2 linked regions of the Notamacropus eugenii genome follow. Each later gene encodes a partner of the first gene's protein in a complex. Links are inferred from orthologs where the notes say so. Each region holds a gene or a part of one and is shown in the gene's direction. Other genes may lie near its edges.

The links. The genes of interacting proteins can lie anywhere in the genome.
Region 2: BNIP1 (region 1) and VTI1B share a complex: the UniProt entries of both Homo sapiens proteins name them as parts of the SNARE complex. The link is inferred for Notamacropus eugenii from reciprocal best matches to the Homo sapiens genes BNIP1 and VTI1B.

What each region holds. Positions count from the first base shown.
Region 1 is NC_092872.1:405,059,220-405,066,372, forward strand, and holds the start of BNIP1 (vesicle transport protein SEC20), read left to right. Parts: upstream 1-4,146; 5' UTR 4,147-4,180; coding exon 4,181-4,264; intron 4,265-7,153. UniProt on the Homo sapiens protein: As part of a SNARE complex may be involved in endoplasmic reticulum membranes fusion and be required for the maintenance of endoplasmic reticulum organization. Also plays a role in apoptosis.
Region 2 is NC_092872.1:312,455,903-312,463,897, forward strand, and holds the start of VTI1B (vesicle transport through interaction with t-SNAREs homolog 1B), read left to right. Parts: upstream 1-4,993; 5' UTR 4,994-5,460; coding exon 5,461-5,572; intron 5,573-7,995. UniProt on the Homo sapiens protein: V-SNARE that mediates vesicle transport pathways through interactions with t-SNAREs on the target membrane. These interactions are proposed to mediate aspects of the specificity of vesicle trafficking and to promote fusion of the lipid bilayers.

The sequences.
Region 1 (7,153 bases):
CTCTTAAAAAAACAAGTATTTTATCATTCAGCACAGACCACTACCCTCTAGGTCCAGGATGGGTTGCTTTGGATCAGCTTGGTTGTACCAAGCTCCATTCTCCAGATTCTCCATCTACAGACCAGGAGCTATAAATGAAATAGCAATGCTTTTAATTAGGACAAAATAGCAAAGTAAATAAGGAAAAGTTGCCCCCCCCCCCCCACACACACACAAAGGGAACAACATCTCACAAACTGCTATGCCCCTGGTGGGAAAGAAAATATATTCCAGGGAAAGTTCATTATCCTGGGACCAAATACTGCCTTTGCAGCTATCAAATACTGTTTTCCCGAAGGGTTGCTACTGTCATCTTTGGCTGAGCATCTTCTTCCCCACAGAGTTACTGCCAAAGGCGAGAGCTTTTACTGGTTTCTTGGACTTCTCTCTTAAAGTGGGTGTTTATTGCTCTTTTGTAACACTGACCCTGTCTATGGCTATATCAACTCTTTTTGTTAGCTGGGACCATATTTGTACTCAGTCAGCACAGAAAAGAGTCAAAATGTTTCTTTCTTAACCTCCTCCCTCCTTCTCAGTGGAAATTTCCCCAGACCTACTAGATATTTAGGTTGGGGAGAAGCAACTACATTTCTTTCAACTCTCATATGTGCTTAGTAACTATACCAGGGCTTCACAAACTACCTTGAAACTTCCACACTGGGACTAGCAACCTTTGCCCTTTAATCCTGTAGCTATACCTGGGATACTGTTCTCCTTGTAAGTACTTTGAAGGGAATTACAACTTTATATCTAAAACGCTATTTTTAAAACCTTAAAACATTTTCTTCACAAAGATCCTGTGAGGTATGTCTTGCAAGTATTACTCCCATTTCACAGATGAGGAAACTATGGCTCAGCTGCCTGCTGTATCGGATTTAGAGACAGTGGTTCTGGCTTCAAACATAGGTTCTGCTATTGTGACTTTGGGGAAGACATCCCCTTTCCCCCCGCAGTTTACTCATCAATAAAATGAAAGTTAAATTTGATTATTTCTAAAGTCCTTTCCAAATCTAATGGGGCAGCTAGGTGGTGCAGTGGATAGAGCACCATTGCAGGAGTCAGGAGGATATGAGTTCAAATCTCACCTCAGACACTTGACACTCACTAGCTGTGTGACCTTGGGCAAGTCACTTAACCCTAATTGCCTCATCCTGGGTCATCTCCAGTCATCCTGGTGAATATCTGGTCACTGGATTCAGATGGCTCTGGAGGAGAAGTGAGCCTGGTGACCTGCACAGCCCTCCCTCACTAAAAACAAAGTCAAGTGCAAGTCATGTCATTATTTCTCTGATGGCATGGTCTTCTTCAGCAATGAAGGATGAACACACACACACACACACACACACACAATGTTGTATACTCCAGTTCTAATCCTATGACCTTCCCAAGATCTCACTAGTAACAAATATTAGAGTTCACAGGATTCCAGACTCCAAGACAGTGGATCAAATAAACAGAGGGAAAAGGATATTAGAGGTAATTGAGTTTGACCCCTGATTTGACCAAGGTCACAGTCCCCAAACTAGGATTTAAACCTAGGTCCTCCTGACTTCAAAGTCAACACCCTTTCCTATGAACTAAGCCTTGCCCTCTATGATATGTGTATACAACTATTACTGTGCCTGTTCTCAAACTTTTCACGTTGACCTATTATAAAAACATTCCTTATACCCCACTTGTCTCTCACATCAACTATCCTAAGAAGCCAAGAACATATGGTTTAAATCCTGCCTTTAACATTTATTTACTATGTGCTCTTTGGGAATTTCTGAAACTCACTTTTCTCATCTGTAAAATGTAGATTTTAGTAATTGGTAATAATTAGCTCACAAGATTGTGAGGATCACATGAATTATATCAGACATTTTCCAAACCTTAAAATATTATTAGCATCATCTCCCTTACTTCATGACCATATAACTGAAGAGTGTAGGTTTTCATAATTATAAGCCTAGACTTCCCTCATTTAAAAAAACAAACAGCCTTTTGACTTGACCCTGCCATCCTTTCAAACTACTGTCCAGCAGTTATTCATCTTAGAAAAAGGTTATTTACACTCTTTGCCTCAATTTCTTAATCCCTTAATCCTTTGCTCCTAACCCCACCATTTGATTCAAAATGCTACTTTCAAGGTAACCTAGGACTCAACTGCTAATTCCAATGTCCTTTTCTCAGGCCTCATTCTTTGACCACTTCTGTTTTTGACTCTATCAGACCTATTCTTGCATTCTCTTCACTAGACTTTATGACACTGCTCTCTTGGTTCTCTTCCTGTCTGACCAGTCTGAAGTGTGTTCGTCCTTCATTGCTGAAGAAGACCATGCCATCAGAGAAATAATGACATGACTTGCACTTGACTTTGTTTTGAGTGAGGGAGGGCTGTGCAGGTCACCAAGCTCACTTCTCCTCCAGAGCCATCTGAATCCAGTGACCAGATGACTTGCCCAAGGTCACACAGCTAGTGAGTGTCAAGTGTTGGAAGTGAGATCTGAACTCAGGTCCTCCTGACTCCTGCACTGGTGCTCTATCCACTGCACCACCTAGCTGCCCTCAACCAGCCTGAAGACTCCTTTGCTGGATCATCACTGTCTTCCCTCCTACTAATCATGGGCATCCCCATCTAGAGGCTCTGTCCTGGCCTTCTTCTCTTGATAAATTGGTGATGTCATCAACACCCATGGGTTCATCATCTCTATAGCGATTACTCTCAAATCTTATGTCTAGCCCTAATCCCTCATCTGAAATCCAGTCTGTATTACCAACTGCCTATTGGACATCTATCCCTGGATGTCCTATAGATATTACAAGTTCAAAGTATTCAAAATGGAATCATTATTATATTTTTCCCAGAACCCATTCCTCCTCAAAACTTCATTTCTGTTGAAAGTACCATCATTCTTCCAGTTACTCAGGTTCACAGTCTTCAAGTCAACCTTGGCTCTTCCCTCTCCCTCATTCTCTCCATCCAATTAATTCTTGATATTATTGCTACAATATCTCCACCAATTTCCTGCTCTCTGTTCACATAGTCTCTTACCCTAGGTTAGAGGAGGTAGCTAGGTGGTCCAATGGATAGAGTGCTGGTTCTGGAGTTAAGAAGACTTGAGTTCAAATTCAGTCTCAGATACTTACTAGCTGTGGGACCCTGGGTAAATCACTTAACCTGTCTGCCTCAGTTTCCTCAAGAGTAAAATGGGGATAATAGGAATATCTACCTCTCAGGGTTGTTGTGAGGATCAACTCTGTAAAATGTTTGGCACACAGTAGATGATATTTAAATGCTTATTCCCCTCTCCCCACCTAGTTTAGACCTTCAGAGGTTCTTCCTTGGACTACTGCAATAACCCCCAATCGCTCTCCTTGCCTGCAGTCTCTCCCCCTCTTTGATCCACCCCTTTTCTCATAGCTGACAAAATGATATTTCCTAACATCGATAGGACCGAGTCATTTCTCTACTCAGGAATCTCCCACTGCTCCCTATTTTGTCTCCGTCTTGGATAAAGCGTGAATTCCTCAGCCTGGCATTTAAAGCCCTCCTTCGTCGGTCTCACACCCACCTGCCCTTCCAGGGTTACTTCATGTTGCTCCGTGCACTCTCTATTCCGGGCAAACTGGCCTGCCGGCTGGGCTTCCCACTCTTCCCCCCCTCCCTTTGCCCAGGGGGTCCCCAATATCTGCACTCCTTTCTCATCTGCCCCTCTCGGAAGCACAGCCCCACACAGGTCACCTCCTGCACGAAGCCTTTCCTGCTCCCTCCCGGAGTTCACCTTCTCCAACTTTCTAAATTGCTTTAGGTTACTTTGTATCCCCTTACAACCCACCGAAGAACGTTAGCTCGGGGGGGAGGCGGGGATTGCTTCACTTTTGCCTTTGTATCCTGCAGCACCTGGAGCAGAGCCAGGTACACAGTAGGCGCTTAATAAATACTTGTTAAACACGGGGTTCTGGACTCGAGAGGCCAGCTCCGCTGCGTACTACGCGCATGGCCTTCAGCCTCTTCGTCCGAAGGCGGAGTATCCAAGGTCCCTCCGAGTCCTCCGTGACCCGCCTGCAGGTGGCGCTGCAACAGCGCCGGGAGAACGCGTTAATAAGAAACGCACTTTGGTTTGGCCTCTACGAAGGCCCGTAGTCGGTCCCCAAGATGGCGACTACCCTGGATGTCCACGTCCGGATGTGTAACCAAGAGATTGTCATATTCGACTTGGAGGTGAAAGCGTTTATCCAGGTAGCGGGTCCCTGCTCGAGCAACCCTTTCCTCTCACGATGGCTCACATCCGAGCCCGAAGAAGCCCGGAGCCTCGGGATCTGTGCCTCCCCCTCCCGCTTCGGGGAAAGGTGGACGGAACCCTCGCCCCCCTCCCCCACCCTTGGTTCGCGGCTACTCGCTCTCTAGACCCCCTCCCCGCTTCTGTTGGCTCCACCCCCTGCTTTCCTCCTCCCTGTTTCTGTGGTTTCCTCGTGCAGCCCCCGCCTCCATTTCCATTGGTCTCTCGTGCCCCCTCCCCTTTCATTGGTTCATTTCCTCCTCTCCCGTTTCCATTGGTTTCAGCCACTCCTTCGTTTCCATTGGTCCGCTGCAGCCCCCGCCTCCCTTTCCATTGGTCCTCGCCCTCCGTTCCCCTCACCTATGTTTATGTTGGTCCCTGATGCCCCGCCCCCCATTTCCCCACTGGTCTAACTACGAGTCGGTACTTTTCTAACTTCAGTGCGGTCTGGGGTCAGGTGGCCCCGGGGAGGCAGGGTGGAGGTGGGGCTGTGTTTGTGGGGAGGGGGGTCCTGAGAGAGCATCTCGTTCAGCCTGTTTATGTTACCGTTGAGCTCCGAGAGGTTCAAGTACCCTGCCCGTGGTGACTCCCCCAGCGTGGCTAGGGTCTGTCTCAGCCTGGGGGCGCCTGGTGCGTTCGTCTCCACCACAAACGTTTATTGAGCCCTCTCCGGGTGCTGTGCGTTGTGCCTGCTGCAAAGATAAAAATCACTTACGGAATCAGCAAGCATTTACGTCCGTACTGTGTGCCTGGTGAGCTGGGCTAATCCATGGGGATGCAGAGAAAAGCCAAAACGCAAAATCCCTGCCCTCATGGGGCGTACGTACTCATTGGGGAGACCATAAGTAAATAAGTAGGAGCCTACAAGATGTAGAGAAGAAGGAAAGTAACCTTACTGGGAAAGACTCAGATGGCTGGGAGAACCTCCGTGTAGAAGGTGGTTTTTCAGGCGTCTGGAAAGAAGAGAGGGATGTCAAATGTACAGGGAAGGAGGAGGAGCATTCCAGACATGGGGAACAGTCAGTGCAAAGGCTTGGAGACAGAAAATGAGTATATTTTGGGGAAACTAGCAAGTAGGCCAGTGTAGTTGGATTATAGAATGCATGAAAGGGAGAAGACTGGAAAGGTCAGAAGGGGCCAAGTTGCGAAGAATCCTAAAAATGACAAAGAACCTTATATTTGGTTCAAGAGGTAGTAAGGAGCCACTGAACATTCTTGAGGAGTATGGGCCTGCCTGCACTTGAGGATCTCTTTGGCAGCTGTGTGGGGGATAAATTGGATTCATAAGAGACTTGAGGCATTGCAATCAGTTGGGAGACCTTTGCAGTTTAAGTGAGAAGTGATGAAAGCCTGCACTAGGATGGTGACTTACGTTGTTGTTTCTCCTTTGTTCTTGAAGAGGACCATGACATCAGGAAGGAGATGTCATGATTTGCAAGTAAATAGGATTTAGGTGAGGGAGGACTGTGTAGTTGCCAGCCTCACTCTCTCCTCTGGAGCTCTCTGGGTTCAGTGGCAAGATAGAGATTAGGACAACTGGAGATGGCCCTGAATGTTGACATGCAGAAGAGATGTGAAAGTAGAAGCAAGATTTGGCAACTGATTGGATCTATGGGGTAAGGGAAAGGGAAGAGTCCAGGAAGACGCTGAAGTAGTCAGTCTGGGAGATTGGTGGTTCACTCAGCAGTAATAGAAAAACAAAATGAAATAATCACTTTCTTCCAAGTCACCAAGAATTTATTAAGTGCCAACTATATGCCAGACACCTTGGGGATACAAGGAAAGGGGAAAAAAAACAATTCTTGCTCTCACAAGTTTGCAGTCTGATGGGGGAAATAACATGTAAATGACTGTATAGACAAGATATGTACAGGATAAACTGGAGATAATCTCAGAGGGAAGGCTCTAAGATTTAGTAAGACTGATAAAGGATTCTTTCTGAAGGTAGGAGTTTAGCTGAGATTTGATGGAAGCCAAGAGACAGAAATGAGGATGGAATGAGTTAATAGGCCTGGGGGACAGCCAGTGAAAATGCTTGGAGTTAGAAGATAAGTGTCCTGTTCAGAGAACAGCAAAGAGGCCAATGTCATTTGATGGTAGAGTATATGAAAGGAAGTAGGATGTAAGAAGAAGACTTTAAAGGTAGAAAGGGGCCAAGCTATTTGACACTTGTTCCTGGGTAGCACCAGAGTTTATTGAAGGGGGAGAGATATGGGCAAAAGTGCATTTTAGGAAGACCAGTTGGACAGCTGAATGGAAGCCGAACTGGAGTGGGAAGAGACTTGAAGCCAGGAGTGTGTCATGAAAAACCATCTAGGCAGGAGGTGATAAGGACCTGCACCAGGGTGGTGGCAGTGTCAGAGGAGGGATGATGCAAAGATAGAATTGACAGGACTTGAGAACAGATTAGATATGGTGGATGAGAGTGAATGAGGAGGCTAGGTTTCAAGCTTGAGTGCCTGGGGTGATGGGGTGACAATAAGGAAACTTGCTGGGTAGGTTTGGAGAAAAGATGAGTTCAGCTTTGAATATGTTAAGCTTAAGGTGTCTGTGGAGCCACCAGTTTATCCAGTCAACTGTGAGAGATGTCATCCTGAAGGTTAGAAGAGAGGTTAGGGCTGGATAAATAGACCTGAGACTCCTCAGCATAGAAATGATAATTGAATCCATGGGAGCTGATGAGATCACCAAGTGAAATACGGTAAGAGAAGAGGACCCAGGAGAGAGCTTGGGGGGAAGTTAGTGAGTTAACTAGATGAAGATCCAGCAGAGAAGACTGAGAAAGGGAGGTCTGACAGGTAGGAGAAGAACTTGGAAAGAATAGTTGTCACAAAATCTAGAGAGAAGGT
Region 2 (7,995 bases), about 93 Mb from region 1:
TTCATGGCTAATGAAACAAACTGTTCTCATCTGCCTGTACCACCTGGGGAAGTCCTCACCAAAGACAAAAGGGTTCATTTGCCAAGTCAGGCCCCCATGGATCTTTTTTATAAAACATTTTTTAAAAATGTTTTATTTTCCCCAGTTGCATATTAAAACAATTTTTTAATATTTGTATTTTTTAAAAAAGCTTTGAGTTTCAAATTCTATCCTTTCATCTCTTCCTCCTACCCCACCCCCAGATAATAAGCAATCAGATATAGGTTACACATTAGCAATCATGTAGTCAATATGTACAGGAAGACTTGAATAAAAGAGAAGGAAAGAAGGAAAGTGAAAAATAGCAATATTTTAGTCTGTATTCAAAGAATATCTGTTCTTTTTCTGGAGGCAGATAGTATACTTTGTCATTAGTCCTTTGGGATTATCTTGGATCATTGTATTGCTGAGAATAAATAAGTCATTCACAGTTCTTCATTTTACAATATTGTTGTTACTCTGTGCAACATTTTCCTGGTTCTGTTCACTTCACTTTGCATCAGTTCATATATGTCTTTTCAGGTTTTTCTGGAACCATTCTGCTTGTCATTTCTTATAATACAATTATATTCCATCACAATCACATGCCATAGCTTGTTTATCCATTCCCCAATTGATTGGCATCTCTTTGATTTCCAATTCTTAGCCACCACAAAAAGAGTGGCTATAAGTATTTTTGTACAAGTAGGTCTTTTTCCTTTCAAAAAAAAAATCTTTATAATATAGACCTAGCAGTGGTGTTGCTGGATCAAAGGGTATGCACAGTTTTATAGCCTTCTGGACACAGTATGGATTCTTTTTAAAGATTCTTCCTTCAGTTTTTTGATGGCCATATCCATACCAGATACCAGGGTTTGAGTAAAGACAGAAAGAACAAGTGTTATGTGAAAACTGAATTTCTCTGAAGTTCCCGGTTAATTATGAGTTTCTAATTTGATATTCTTCTTATAATTCTGTTGTTAATAGGACTAGATCCATAAGGTCTGAATGAGTTTCACCAAAGGAACTAATTACTTAAAGGTCAATCTGATTAGATTTTGTCACATTTTACAAAATTATATTAAGTCTTATCACTAGCAGGCATTACCCAGAGAATCTCTACAAGTGCCTAGAACCTGAAGATGGTTGAGGAAATACCTCCACAAACCTGGCTTGATCCATGCATAGCCCTTTGAGATGTACAAGAGGTATTTATCAGACTTCTGAAGATCATGGTCGGTGCCAAATGACTTCACACTCTTTAAGCTACAGCTATATTGGGTTTTGTATTCATCCTATTGTAATTTTGCTTGTTTTATTAGCCATATGTGTGTAATGGACCTTTTACCTGTCTGCTTGGATTGATATGATTTGGGAACCAAGGACTTTGAACTGCAAGTTGTAACGTCATGGTTTGCCCAGTGTTTAATGCAGAGACCCATTTCATGGTCTCTAGCTCCCTTTCTTGTCAACAGTTTAACTCCTCAAAGAAGAAAACTGTGACAAAATGGGGGAAGGTGATGGGCTGTACCAATAGAAAATCTGCAGGCTGAACTGCCAAAGCCTATGGGCTACAGGTATGTTGTGGTATACAGAGACCAAGTGAGTCATTCAGTAGGGATTTTATCATATTCTGCTGACCAGTTATACTGCCACCAAGATTAATAAATGGAAGACCTGAATACATCAGTCTGCCATGACTGACCTCTGAGCAGCAAAGGAAGAAATTCCTGATTGACTTCATGGACTCAGTTAACCTGGAAAAGGATCCCAACACCAATGACTGTTTTTTGAAGGCTTATTTGTTTCACCCAATAATTAGGACCTAATCCTTCACCTGTTATCTACTAGAGACAGAGGTGGTACTCCACATAGTAAATCCAATTCCCTTGCAAGTCATGACATCACCTTCCTGATGTTATTATTGGTCAACAAAGGACAAACAACACCACCTATCCTTAAGCACTGTATGGGTGTTGCCTCAGACAAACAGACCTAAGACCTTAGCTTAAAAAAGCCAAGGTCTCCCACTACATCTCTGGCCATCTCCATATGTGCGGATCTATATCTTGCCAATGGACCCGAATGGTTCTGGAGGAGAGAGTGAAGCTGTTGACTTTGCACAGCCTTCCCTCACTTAATTCCAATTCTCTTGCAAGTCATGGCATCACCTTCCTGATGTCACTAATCCTCAAGAATGAACTATGTATTTGCTGTTTTCATTTTATGCCCAGTTTTATGCCCTTGGGGTTGGGAGAACAGGAGAGTCTAATATTTATGTGTCTGATCTAACATGCCAGCTATGCCTTTAACTGAACCAACTGCTGAATAGGTGCACATGTCCCTTTGTTCTTGGGAGAAGGGATGCCCCTAGTGGGTGAGGGGGTCAAACATCCAGGACTTATGTGATTCTGTTTGCAATCAGTAAGGCAAACTTAAACAAAAACCAAATTGTATTACTATAGATTGGAAAATGACTCCTGATCAGTCACTTTTAATTGGGAAAAAATTCAAAATTTTTGACCCTCCTCAACACCTTTCGCAGTCCTACTTGTAATTTGGGATTTGGCTTGGGAATCAGCACTGTGTACAAAGGGAGGTCCTGTAAGCACAAAACAATACACAATCCCTTTGAGACATACAGGAGAGAACCCAAAGTATCTGCAAAAGATTTCTTACAGAAGATGGAATTTAAGTCAAGACTTGAAGGAAGCCAGGAAGCAGAAGTTAGAAGGGAACTTCATGTAAAGGAATGGAGTTGGAATAGGGAATGGCATTTTGTGTCCATCCTTCACTGCTGAGGAACATCATACCATCAGAAAAATAATGACATGACTTGCACTTGACTTTGTTTTGAGTGTGGGAGGGCTGTGCAGGTCACCAGCCTCACTTCTCCTCCAGAGTCATCTGAATCCAGTGACCAGATATTCATCAGGATGACTGGAGATGGCCCAAGATGCAATGGGAGACCTTTAGGCCAAGGTCTTTGCAGGTACTTACTTAGGGTGAGGCAACTCCCATTCATTGAATAGGTCTGTTTAAGAAGTAGCCAGGGCATGGCTCCTTTAATGAGGTTAAGAAAAAGAAAGCCATCAGGCAGGATGGGAAACAGCAACAGTTACTATTGATAATCACTCTCAAGCTAGGAAGGTCCAGAGAAGCCTTCAGGCAGGGCCCCAATCAAGGAACAGCCAGTAGGCCAGTGTATGGATGGATGGTGGTGAGGAGTAACTGTGTAAGAAGGCTAGAAGGGTAGGAAAGGGTCAGGCTGTGAAAGGCTTTAAATGACAATAAAGAGATTTATATTTGATCTTGGAGATAAAAGGGAGCCACAGTAGTTTAGTGAATACTGAACTAGGTGGTACAATGGATAGTGCACTGGGCCTGGAGTCAGGAAAGCATCTTCCTGAGCTCAAATCTGGCCTCAGAAAATTCCTAGCTGCGTGACTTTGGGCAAGTTCCTTCACCCTATTTACCTCAGTTTTCTCATCTATAAAATAAGCTGGAGAAAGAAATGGTGAACCATCTTTGCTAAGAAAACTCCAAAGAGTCAGACACAACGGAAAAACAAGTGAAAACCTTCTCTCAATTAAGACGTAAAAGAACAGTTTATACTACAACATCAATATGATCAAAATGAACAATTTTGAAGGCTCTTATAAACTACTAAAAAATTAAATGAGCAGAAGCACAATAATTCTAGACAAAAACACTGTAAAAACAACTTTGAAAGCTGTAAGAACTGTGATTAATACAATGACACTTCATAACTGCAGAAGAGGGACAATGAAATATACTATTAGAGAGATGATGAGGAGACAATTTGATATAGTCAATAGAGAAATTTATAATTGTTTATAACTGACAATGTATAATTGTTACAAAAACTTTCCTTTTTTAATCTTTTTTTAAAATGGGAGAGAAAATAGATTACTGTGAAAAAAAAATTTTTATTGATGTTTTCTTTTCCTTACATATCTCTCCCTCATATCCTTTTTCCCTCCCCTTCCCAGAGAGCCATCTTTTGTGTAACAAATAGGTGCAGTTTGTTATTTTTTTTTTTTTGGAAGAAAGATCAGTACCACTGATTGACATGCTGAAAAAATCAGAAAGCATGTGCAACGTGTAACACCCCTGGACCTCCCACAGGAGTGTCTTCTCATGTTTCTTCATTCCAGTATACCTGATCCGCCTAATTCTGTTAATTTCTGATTTTTTTGGTGTGTTGCATGCACTTTTTTTTTGTGGATTTTAAATTTATTTTGTTAAATATTTCTCAATTACATTTTAATTTATTTTTTATTTTTTACCTCTTTTTTGTGGATTTTAAATTTATTGTTAAATATTTCTCAATTACATTTTAATCTATTTTTTATTTTTTCCCCTCAATTATATGTCAAACAAAAATTTTTAACATTCTTTTAAAAAATTTGGAGTTCCACCTCCTTCCCCCCCCTCGAAGGCAAGCAATTTGATATTGATCATACAGGTGCAGTCAGGCAAAACATTTTCATATTAGACATGTTGCAAAAGAAAATGCAGACCAAGAAAGCCCAAGAGAAACCAAGTAAAAAAAAATATGGCGCCTGCACTTTCAGACGAGGTCCCTGTATTGAGTTGTACCTGTTTTAAGAGACCTCGTAACGACGCGGGAATAATCTATAATTTTAAACAAAATATCAATAAAGTTTAAAAAATAAAAACTTGCTAGGATTAGGAAAATCACCTTGGCTGCTATGTGTAAATCCTCTCCGGGACTCAGTTGCCCGACCTGTAAAAGAGGAAGCATCAAGCCTTCAGAGTTAATAAACCAGTCTTAGCTGGAGAAAAAAAAAAAGAGAGAAGCAGATAGTCTCAGTGGACTGGCACGTGACTATGCGTGATGACGCACAATCCGATCGCGTCTTGGGGAAGCATGTCGCCTTATCACCGGGACTGTCACGAGTCGCTTACGTCGAACTACAACTCCCTCAATGCACCGCGAAACCACAGCTTTCCTACGGCCCTGTTTTTTTTTTTCTCTCTTCCATTATCGCCTAGTGCAACGGGTGACTCTTAACTCTCGCTCACCCACTTGTGACAGCTTAGTCGTCTCCAGTCTGGCGCCCAAATCACAGCACGGCTCATGGACGAGAGAAGAGAGATAGGGTGGCTTCGGCTTCTCCCTGCCTTACGCGGAAATGTTTTAGGTTTCTCATCAGGCATATCTTGGATTGCCCCCGGTGGGTGGCAAGGTGGGACCTCGTGGAGCGATTTCCGGCTCTAAAGGACCCCGCTGCTTCAGTCTCCCGGAAGCGCCTAGCCTTCCGCTGTGGCGACGGTCGAACTAGCTGGGGGCCATGGAGTCGCTAATACGGCGGTTGAGCCCGACGCTGGGCTAGAAGCGGGCCCCTCGGCCCGGGACCTCGGCCCTGCCGGTGTCGGGGAAGCTCGCCCTACGCCATGGCGGCTGCTGTGTCCTCAGAGCCTTTCGAGAAGTTGCACGAGATCTTCCGCGGGCTGTACGATGAGCTGCGCGGGGTCCCCGACAGGCTCCTGGGAACCGGGGGGACCGGTGAGTCCTCTGGGCCAGGGGGGCTGGTGTCCGGGGATCCCGAGGTGCCAGGGACCCCCGCCCCCGTTCTCTTAAATTTCTCCATTCCTCCTGGGGCTTCCATCGCAAAGTTGCGAGGAAAGCTCTTGGGGGGCACCGAGGCTCCCCAACTCCAGGCTAACCCGTCGTCGTTTCCTAAGTGCCTCTGGGAGCGCTTTTGTGTGCCAGGCACGCTGGGATTACAGTGGATAAAAAGGGAAGATAATGTCTGCCGTCAAGGTCCTTAACCACTCAGCTGCTAGAACCATCTTATTAAAGCACAAGTCCGACCAAGTCATCCCCCCCCCCCAAAAAAAAAAAAAAACCAAGACAAACAACCAAAAGTCCAGACGCCGCCGTCTCCAGACTCCAGGCATTTCCTCTGGCTTGTCCCCCATGCCTGGAGTGCCCTCCCTCTTCGTAGACATCTCCCGATTTCCTTCAAATTTCATCTAAAACCCCACCTTCTACAACAGGAGGCTCTCCCCTGTACCTCTGAATTCTGTCCCCTTCTGCTGGTTGTGTTCAGTTTACCCACGTCTGGGGGAGCAGGAGCTGACATTTCCCGGGCTTAACCCCGTGTTTGGCGCATAGTAGGCCACCTACCTACCCCCCGACCCTTTTCTTGAAGATGTCTTGTTGTTGTGTTTGTCCTTCGTTCTCGAAGAGGAACATGACATCAAGATGCCGAGGTGACTCCAATGAGGGGACAGTCATTACCACTGGGGAACCAGCCAGAGGCTCACCATTTCACCAAAGGACAGCTGTTGGGGAGCTTTTTTTCCTCCATTAAGTCAAACCTATATTTTCCTCTTGGCCATTCCTCTTCATTCTGCCCTGTGGGAACGAGCAAAACTACCTCCTCTCATTTCAGCATCCCAGTTCCTTTTCCACTCTTCTCCCAGCTAAACATTCCTACGTTGTTCCACCAGTTCAAATATGTCAGGTCACGTCTTTGAGCTTTTATTGTGCTTGGTATGTACCAAGTACTGTGCTGAGCCCTAGGCACACAAAGAAAGTCAAAAAAATAATCCAGGTGTTCAAGAAACTTACAGTCTAGTGGGGGTGACATTCTGACAGCAAAGGAGATATACAGGTTAAATTGGAAATACTTGCAGAGGGAAGGCAGCAGTGTCATTAAAGGGCATGGGACCCTTCATTCTCCTGGTTGCCCTCCTCCTGAAGCTGTTTGCTTTACTGAAGTCCTTTCTAAAATCTGGTGCCTGGAAAGTAATGAAATATTCCGTGTGGTCTGACAACAGGGCACTGCCACCTCCCTCCTCTGTGCCTTCCAACATAGCTTCCTTTGTGTTGCTTACTTAGTGGGGCCGCTGACTAGTGCTGGGGATGATGTGCTTCTCCCCTAGTTTTGCTTTTTACTTAGGGCACCTGTCTAGTCTTATTTCAGTACTAGTGTATCAAAAGTTCAACTGCTTTGTAGTTCTGGGAACTTCACTTCAGATACAGCTCCTCTTAGACTCTTCTAAGTATCCTGCATTGTTGAACTGATTCAGTTATGTCAAGTCAGCCGTCTTCTATGTGCTCTCCTCACCATCTCAGCTGTTCCTTACTGGAAGCAGCATTAGAGAAAGTTGGTTTAATTCAACTGAAGAAACTTGACCAGATAGAATAATACTTCTTAAGCTCTTTGCACACCTCAAAGCCCTATGTAAATGTTAGATGCCATTAGTAGTAATCTTTAGGCACTGTGCTGAAGCCAAAACATGGGGAATTTGTGTCAAACGGTATTAGAGTTAGGGATAAGTTAATAAGGGAAGTTGAGGAATGTCTTGTTTTTCTGGATATTTAAAAATAGAATAGATTTTCAACTCTGATGGTTTAGGTATGGCCTTCTAATTTTTATCCTTATGGGTTCAAGGTGTTTCTGTTTTTAAGGAGGAAATAGTATTCCTTTTCACTTAAGAGATCATAAATAAGCCACAATATTAATGAAAAACAGCATGCATTTTTGATTTACCTTTCGTCTAAAGTCTAGTAATACTTGAGAATTCATTTTAGAGATAAGAAGTATGTTCTCTGTGCTTAGAGGTGCATGTGGCAACATGCAGTGCTTGAGATTTCTAGCCTGGTGCTATGTGATGCATAAGTACAGCTTTCTTTGAAAACCAGAAAACTCAGTACATTGCATCTGTTTCATTCTCAACCTGACCTTCTCTGCCTAGTCCTTTATCATGGCCAAAGAAGGAAGGAGACAGGTTTGGAGAACTGTCTTTCAGATAAATGTAGTGTCCACTCAAATTGCACTGTGTCCAGTCAGTTACTTCTTTATCTTTTAGGCCTTTCCTTAGCCTCTGAGATCATTTCTTAGCTGTTTAAAATATTTTTTCTATATGTGTGAAATATTAGGTACCGTGCCACAAACATACACCTCATAATCCTTACCT